Linked DNA regions of Xenopus tropicalis. The protein of the gene in region 1 purifies or fractionates together with the protein of each later gene. This does not show direct contact. Links are inferred from orthologs where the notes say so. Each region holds a gene or a part of one and is shown on either strand. Other genes may lie near its edges.

Region 1 (4,312 bases):
GATATCGCCCACCCGTAGTTGGGGAGAAGATCTGCTGGCTTGGCGGTAGCCTGTGTATGGGGACCTTAACCTAATAGTTTAACTCTTCCATCACCTTTCGATACTACTTTTATTACATAGTAAATACCTACATCACGACAGGCCAACAGCTGAATTCTTGTGAATCTATCTGGAAGCCTGTGTTGTACTGTATCCTTCTTCACATTCAAGGCCTGTTCTTTTGCAGAGTTATAAAGAGACTGTGTTCCAGTGATGTGCCTACTTCTCAACTTTTACATAACTGAAAGAGTTTTGCCCATGCACACTTTTACCACAAAGGTATTCACGGTGTGTTTGAATATCCTGTCAGTCTCACACCCATTAGCCCAGCCCACAGGGGTACATTACAAAAAGCAGATGCATACAGTCAACGATAAACTTTATTTTATTTTGTCGCCATTCCTATGGTCTTTGCCTTACAGATTTGCAAACGCCAGTCAGGGAACCAGGGCTGCTGCTCCCTATAAGCAGAGTATGCAGTCTGCATAGGGCACCAACTCCCAGGGGGGCACCATCCCAGCTGCTCAAAAAAATCATTTTTATATAACATACCCCCCAACACTGTCCGGTTTTTATAGCGCATCCTGCTGTCCCGGATAGTTCAATCAATCTATGGGGGCAATTGGGGGCACTTACTGTGGGGGCTATTGGGGGCACATACTATAGGGGCATTGTCTATGGGGGCTATTGGGGGCACTTACTATGGGGGCATTGTCTATGGGGGATATTGGGGGCACTGTGTGTGGGGCCCCTATAGTAGGTGGTTTTTTTTATTATTTTTTTTTTACTTCTGTAATATTTGGGGGAGGGGGCACAAAAGTACATTTCTGCTTAGGGCACCCATTTGGCCAGCAGCGGCCCTGCAGGGAACTGTCATCTGGAAGAAGTCTAGGAGCAAAGAGAAGAAATGTATGCATCGGCTCCATAACAACATACCGCCCTGGGTTCAGCCCTTAGCTGCCCCTCACCACAATAGCAATTGTTACGAGTACCGGACGGCGTTGACTATTTAGCTGTAAATTGTCTATTCCCTAGCACTGTGCGAACACAGCAGAGCTCTACAGCACTGCAACCCAAGCTGAGTTTGGAAGGGGCGGGGCTTCTGCCCTGCAGGCACGTCACCTTGCCAACGCATCCCTTACTAATAAAGTTCCCACATTTGAATGTTTTTTTTCCGTACTGGCTACCTCATTCTGTGTATCTGGAATTGTAGATTTTATTTCTCTTAGGGCTTTTCTTGGAGGTTGGAAGAAAATCCAAACAAAGGCACACAGAAATGGCTTTGGAAACTGGGCTTTGGGCACAGCTGGGCCTGCAGGATCGCATGTGGGCGGGGATTTAAACGCGTTCGATGACGTTGCAGCCTGGGCATGCGCATTAACAATGTTCTTGTCCGTGTGTTTTTTTTACTGATATTTTGTTTACTGTATATTGCAGTGATGGAGTATGGGAACACGAAGTAGTAGCAGTGCAGGAGGTGGGGAAACTCCGGGAGATTCTCCAGAAGACTCCCAAAACAACCTAGAGTCACGTGGTCTTCAGAATGATGATGATGAGGAGAACGTTGACCTGGCGCAGGTACTGGCGTATCTTCTGCGCAGGTAACAAGACCCCTGACATGTCCTCCATAAACTTGTCCAACTATATTCTTAGCAAACACTGAAGCGAAGGTAGGATCTTACTTATGGCGCACATTGCTCAGTGTTCAGTTTTAGGGTTCTTTTATAGACAGGTAAGGGCTTTAATAGATAATGAGACAGACAATAAATTAAATACTTCTGGAATCTTTTAGCTCAGCAGTATTGTATAATAGCCACTAGGTGGTCATATAGACTAGGCATCATACTGTAAAGCAGAATAGAATTATACTGCAGAGAGGTGGAATATGTAGCATGGTCATTACCAGAAAAGTTGTTTTTAACCTTAAAGTTGTTTTAATCCTTTACCTGTCACCCATCATAGAATCATCATAGAATCTACTGCTTCGTCACGAAAGTTCCATCATGCTGGCCCCAAAGATTCTACATTTTTGTTGTTTCTATTTGAAGGGTGCAAGGTGTTTACTGGCAACATGCAACACGGTTAGATCAAAAACCTGTGCAACAGAAAGGGTTAAATAGTGTCTCTGTTACATTATTTTAGATCATTTGTAGGTAGTTGCCAGTGTCATGGCATGATACTTTATACATCCAGCAGTTGGGTTCAAATGTGTTGCTTATGTTTTGTTAAATTGAAAAAATAATCAAGGAGCAAGGAGCAAATCAGTGCAGAGTTATTTTAGCATTTTCAATCAATACGAAGCCACCAATACTGAGTTACATGGGGATGAGTGAAAATGGAGACACCACTAAGTCATGAAACATTGGGGTTTTTTGTTTTTTTTGCCCAGTGCAGTGGCCTCTCACCTCATTCTTCTTACTGTGATAATGCTACAGCCCTTTTACTTGTAACGTCAAGTCAAGTACTAGCACCATAAAGTTCTTACATATGCACATAGGGCAGCCAGCAGCTACTCTGTGCTGAAGGGTCAAATATAAAGTTCTTTATGTGCCTGTACAGCACATACTGTAAACACTGCAGTCTTTTACAGTATATCACAGTCTATTCTATCAGTTATAATTTCTATCAGAGGTTTATTTATATCTGAGAGCCTGCCGAAAATTATAGATGGCCCACATGAGCATATTCTTACTTTCTGGGTTCAAACAATTCTGGTCATCAACCTCTGCCCTAGAGAATTCTTCATTTTAATTACCTACTTGCAGCCCTTCAAGATTTCTCCTAAATTATTCTTGAGCAGATTTGCAAAACTTTGAGCTATTGTGCACACTACCTCTACTACCCACATGTCAATACTGCATGTAAACATACCCAGAGCTTGTAAACCACTGCCCTCAAACTTGCTTCCCCACTGAACCCTAGTTCTTTCCCATCCCTTGTGTGTGAGGTATGTCTGTCCTGAGAGTTGGTGTCCTTTTCCATCTTAGGGGACAAGTGCGATTAGTGCAGGGAGGGGGTCCTGCTAGCTTACACCTGGTGCAATCTTTGTCGGACTCAGATGATGATAACGACAGTGCCTGGGAGGGCTGCTTAGGAGACCGCTACATTCCTCCTGGTGAGTCGTCTTGTCTTCACACTTACATTATTGGTAATCCACCTTTGCCACACACCCATGCGGAGTGTGATTCACTTTTAGCTGTTAGTTATAATAAGTTTGACTTTAGTTAACTATTGCTCAAAAAGACGTCACCTTGATTTCATATTATAAGATTCTTACAACTCTAAGCCAGGCATGCATATTTCTTAGAAAATCTATCATGTCGCTAGCTAATATGTGAAATTCATTAATTTTAAGCTTGGTCTTCTGAGTGTAAATTAAATGGCAAGATCAACAGCATTTTTTCTTCATTCTACAGAATTTTCTGTGCCATATTCTCTTTTGGTGTGCTTTTTTCTTTAGTTTATATGCCTAAATCTCATTCAACTTTCCTTTTCTTGAAGTTGATTCAGCCCCAGACACCACATCGCTGGATCAAAATCAGATCAGGACACAGACACTTTTGGCCACAGGAAGACAAAGCACACAAAGACAACATAACATCACACGTCTCCTATTGGAGGTATGACTGGCCTACTTACTGGATGTCGGAAGTATGCTTTTACAACATATTGCATCAAAACCATGTTACACATATGGGTTATATTATACATTTTTCATATGAGATATACAGTATTTTGGGCATAGCCTATAAACCTTGAGTCCAGTAGGCGCAAAGTGCAATGTAACTGCCTGTTCTGCATCTTTACCATGGCTTATCTGCACCCACTGCTATCATGTTCAAACTTTTGCACATTCAATAAGGGGGTGAAAAAATTTGCACCTGTTATATGCTGGTAATCAAAGCTTGCACCCGCAATATAAGAGGGAGTATGTAGGTGGGAAGAATGTCTCCTTGGGTGCCCCTTAAAGAAGGAGTAAACCTTTTTTTTCTATCTTTAAAATAAATTACTCTAAACAACCCCCAGAATAACATATCTTAGTCACTTCCTGGTACAGTGTGAAGGCCTGCCCCCTCTTTCTGTTCAGCTCTGCTCATCTATTCGACTATAGGGTAGTCAAAGAGGAGAGCCTTCTTTGCATGCCTGACAGAGAAGAAGCATTCTGGAAATGCACAGTAAGTCAGACAGTTATGTATAGGCACAGAAGAAATCTGCTGCTGCTGCACACTGGCTCCTGCTTCTCTATGCATTCCCAGAAAGCTACCCTGTAGTC
Region 2 (4,179 bases), on another chromosome or scaffold:
TATTGGGTGTCAAACTATTCAGTGGACCCCTGGCGTTCAAATTTAGGATGTTTAATTTGGTTACTTTATGACCTGCAGGAGATAAGATACTATAGACTGGAAGCTTTGAAGCTATTTTTTTTAAATTTTACAAATTTTGATAAAAATCAGTAACTTTAGGAAACTTGGTAGTTTGGAGTAGACAGACAGTTGTGCGTATTCTGGATTCCCCAGAATCTGTTTCCAAAAATGTATGATTTCTGGGATAAACCCTCTGTTACTGCAATCTTTGGCCTTGAAACCTGAAGTATGCAGCTTTCTGAACCAGTGCTTTGGAATTTTGGTAGTGTACTGCTTGTAGTTTTTGACCTATACAAGTGAGAAATCTCCATAAAACTATGTATATTTGGTATTGGCACATTCAGGAGACATGGGGCTTTCCAAATCAGTTGTATTTTCGTGCATAAAATAATTTTTTTAGACATTTAGAAGCCTATATCTTGTTACAGAATTGGAATTCTACCATATTTTGAAAGCTTAAATTGTCCTGAAAAAATGATATATTGTTTTTCTGGGTAAACTAAAAGTCCCCCCGAGGAAAGGCCCCTAAAGTGAAAGTTCCGCTTTGACCCAATCGTCTGGAAGTGAAAGGGTTAAGGCATAAGAATTTAGTACAAGATATAAATTTGCCTAGTTTTCATCCTTTTTTTGCTGCACTACATGCCAAAAAAACCCACAGGTAACGCATTCTATTCATAACACTGTAGGTACTTATATGCTGACCCAGTTGCCTAAGACCTGCTATTTTACTGCAGTTCATGATTGTTTAGCTACTTCCTAACTGCAGCCATTGTTGCATCAATAACCTATTGGTTACAGTTTAAACGGAAACCCACATAAAACAGCACTGGGATCCATTTCTTGCTCTGAACCCATTTATTAATCCCATCTTCAATCCAAGCCCCCCATACCACTGTCTATCGCTAGATGGGGTTAATAAAATACTGAAAGACGTCACTGTTAATGACTTTCAAGCAGACGATACCATTTGTAGAAAACAGGAGGGTGATGTTGTAAGTCTTACCCCCACCAAAAAAATGTATTGTTTTTATATGACCGATGTGTGTTATGCTTTCCTGTTTTCTGTAATGTAACAGAATAATGAAGCCGAAATGAAATCAATCCCAGAACCAGGAGAGTTTTCTAAGTTATAATTCTGGAACCTGCAGCTTCCCACACTGTGACTGCGCCTGGCGGAGGGCGGAGGCAAGGCTAGACTTCCGGATGTGCGCAGTGTGAGGCGACGTTGTGTATTTGTGAGCCGGTGTAAGCTGTAAGGCTGGCGGACTTTGAAGAGGCCATGGCCATGGCTGGGAGCAGCGTGGCCCAGAAGACATGGGAGCTCTCCAATAACATGCAGGAGGTGCAGAGCATCGATGAGATCTATAAATACGATAAGAAGCAGCAGCAGGAGATCCTAGCAGCCAAACCATGGACAAAGGAGTAAGAAATGGGAATTGAGAAGGACGGGGGTTGTTTGGGATAGGAGAGACAGAATGCATGACATCCAGGGGATTTGAAAGTTGTAGATCGCTAACAATTGGATGGTCTGAAGTGAAATATACCAATATTGAGGGGTATATTTATCATGCTTTGTAAAAAGTGGAGAGCATTACTGATGATGTTGCTCAGGGCAACCAATCAGCAGTTAGATTTCAACAATTAGAAAACTAAAGCAAAGCATGTTATTGGCTGCTATGAGCAATATCACAGGTAATGTTTTACTCCACTTTTTACACAGCATGATAAATATACCCTTTAGCATTGTGAAAAACTTGAAAGTACTCTACTTGAACTACAATTCCCAGACATCTCTGGCAGCCAGGTGGTTTCAATACTAGTTATTACTATAAGTAAACTAGTTATTACAAGCTGCTGATAAAGCCCCAGTTGCTTGACCACCAAGCTCTATAGATATGCTCAGCTGCATATCTACAGGCCATATTCGCTCAGGGGCATGTGACTTTACATGAAGAAGCTGACGGTCGGTCAGGATTGACTTGTGGCTGTAACACATTGTTACGGAGTGTTTTAGATGCATATGACTGGCCTTTAGAAGTTTATTCGATACAAGTGTATTCAATACTGTTCTCCCTAACCTTGGTGAGTCCTGCTGTTGTTGCTTAGTTTGTCCCTGTTATGTCTCATATCTTATCAACTTTAATGTTAAGACACATCTTGTAACATTTTTTCATTAACCATTTATACATACTTGTAACGCTATAATTTAACTTATTTTCACTTTATTTTCTGTTTCTTTGCTTCTTTCTGCTTCTGTTCTCCATGTTGTTGGTTTACAGTGTTTTTTATGGTTACTATGATCACTTTTTGGCGCCATTTTTTGTGGGATGTTATTTAAAATGTGTGTGGGTATTCAGTCTGTTGGTTTGTCCCTGAAGAATACTGTTGGTATTCCAAACATTTTTTCAATAAACTTGAGCGTGCAGTGCTCTTTATCTAGCCTATCTATCTATGTACAAATTATCACAATTATAAAAACAAAGGTAATATACTGCATTGTATAGCAGTGACAGGGTTTGGAATCTGTAGACCCAAAAACTTTTTCCTCTGTAATTCTTTTATTAGCTTGTATTAATTATGGGGGGATTTGAATATTACAGAGGAAAGAAAGGTTCCTTGTCTCCAGTCCAATTAATGTGTGTATGTTTATCCAGAAAACTTGGGACCTGGGGTTTTCCTGATAAGGGGTCTTTCCATAATTTGGATCTCCTACCTTTAATCTTCTAAAACAAATATGTAAACAGTAATTAAACCCAATAGGATTGTTTTGGCTCCAATAAGGATAAATTATATCTTAGTTGGGATCAAGTACAAGGTACAGGTATCGGACATAAGATACACTGACTAGATTGCCCTTTTACTGATCTTTCATGCAACAGGGCCCTGACACATGAGATTAGTTGCCCATTATAAATCTCCTCTACCATGGGCAACTGATCATCTCCAAATGCCTTCCAACTGGCGATAATGTAAATTGCCGGTGGAAAAACATATGCGTTGCTTTGGCTTTCCAAAATTATGCGAAGTTGCCCTGCAAAGAAACTTCTGACTATGGAAAGCTGTAGCATCGCTTATGTTTTCCCACCGGTGATTTATATTTTCACCAGTGGCAAGGCAGTTGTCTAAACTCCTTGTCTTTCATTGTCCTAAGTGCTGCAGAGAGATCATAGCTGCCTCATACACATTCAATAGGTATATTCGGTTAGCCTTTATAAAATGCACTTTTGTTAAAGCTATGTGATGTGCAGATTGGTGAGATAATGGTGAGCTGCATTGTTCTAACCAAAGCAAACACTGCTTGGCTATTAAAGGGAACTGACTTGCTATTGATTAGCAAGAAAAGAGGCTGCCTTTCTGTTGTTCACATGAAATTATGCCCTGGGTAAGTTTACTTCTTCTTGTTTACAGCCATCATTACTTCAAGTACTGCAAAGTGTCTGCCCTAGCCCTGCTGAAGATGGTCATGCACGCCAGATCAGGAGGGAACCTTGAGGTGATGGGCCTCATGCTTGGAAAAGTGGACGGGGAGACTATGATCATTATGGACAGTTTTGCTTTACCAGTTGAAGGAACTGAAACCAGAGTCAATGCTCAGGCTGCTGCTTATGAATACATGGCTGCATATATTGAAAATGCAAAGCAGGTACCTTGCATCCTGGCTTAAAAATTATACCATTTAAAAGGAAAAGATAGTTTTCTCTTCTCTCAGTTCATTTCCTTAATTGTCATCTCTACTGCATAACATGCTTACACAGTGAATACAGTGTATAAAGACAGTAATAATGTGCAATACAAGTAGGACAATACTTATTTAAGCTTTAACATTCATTTAACATTAACAATTATATATGTGTATTCTAATTACAAAGTTGCAGTTTTCCTTGAGGAGGATATGCTTGCCCAGATAGGCTGTCCGTATACACAGCAGCTAGGATTCACTTTTTCTTTTTTCTAATTGTGGCAGACTGTTCACATTTAACCATATTTCATTGTGGAATTAGCACTGGTGAACATTTAAATCCTCAATTTTCACAGTTTGAGACAGAAAAGCTGTTTTCTTATGACACTAGGCCTGCACTTGTATGGTTTTTCTTTTTCATTCAGTAGAAACATCATTCT

What was found. Proteins that work in one complex are often made in the same cells at the same time.
Region 2: the proteins of dcaf11 (region 1) and cops5 purify together in Homo sapiens (affinity purification with mass spectrometry; 6 studies listed by BioGRID and IntAct, with this or other methods). This does not show direct contact. The link is inferred for Xenopus tropicalis from reciprocal best matches to the Homo sapiens genes DCAF11 and COPS5.

What each region holds. Positions count from the first base shown.
Region 1 is NC_030677.2:139,470,423-139,474,734, reverse strand, and holds the start of dcaf11 (DDB1- and CUL4-associated factor 11), read left to right. Parts: upstream 1-1,473; 5' UTR 1,474-1,485; coding exon 1,486-1,640; intron 1,641-3,026; coding exon 3,027-3,154; intron 3,155-3,540; coding exon 3,541-3,659; intron 3,660-4,312. UniProt on the Homo sapiens protein: May function as a substrate receptor for CUL4-DDB1 E3 ubiquitin-protein ligase complex.
Region 2 is NC_030682.2:119,216,904-119,221,082, reverse strand, and holds the start of cops5 (COP9 signalosome complex subunit 5), read left to right. Parts: upstream 1-1,330; 5' UTR 1,331-1,339; coding exon 1,340-1,482; intron 1,483-3,468; coding exon 3,469-3,703; intron 3,704-4,179. UniProt on the Homo sapiens protein: Probable protease subunit of the COP9 signalosome complex (CSN), a complex involved in various cellular and developmental processes.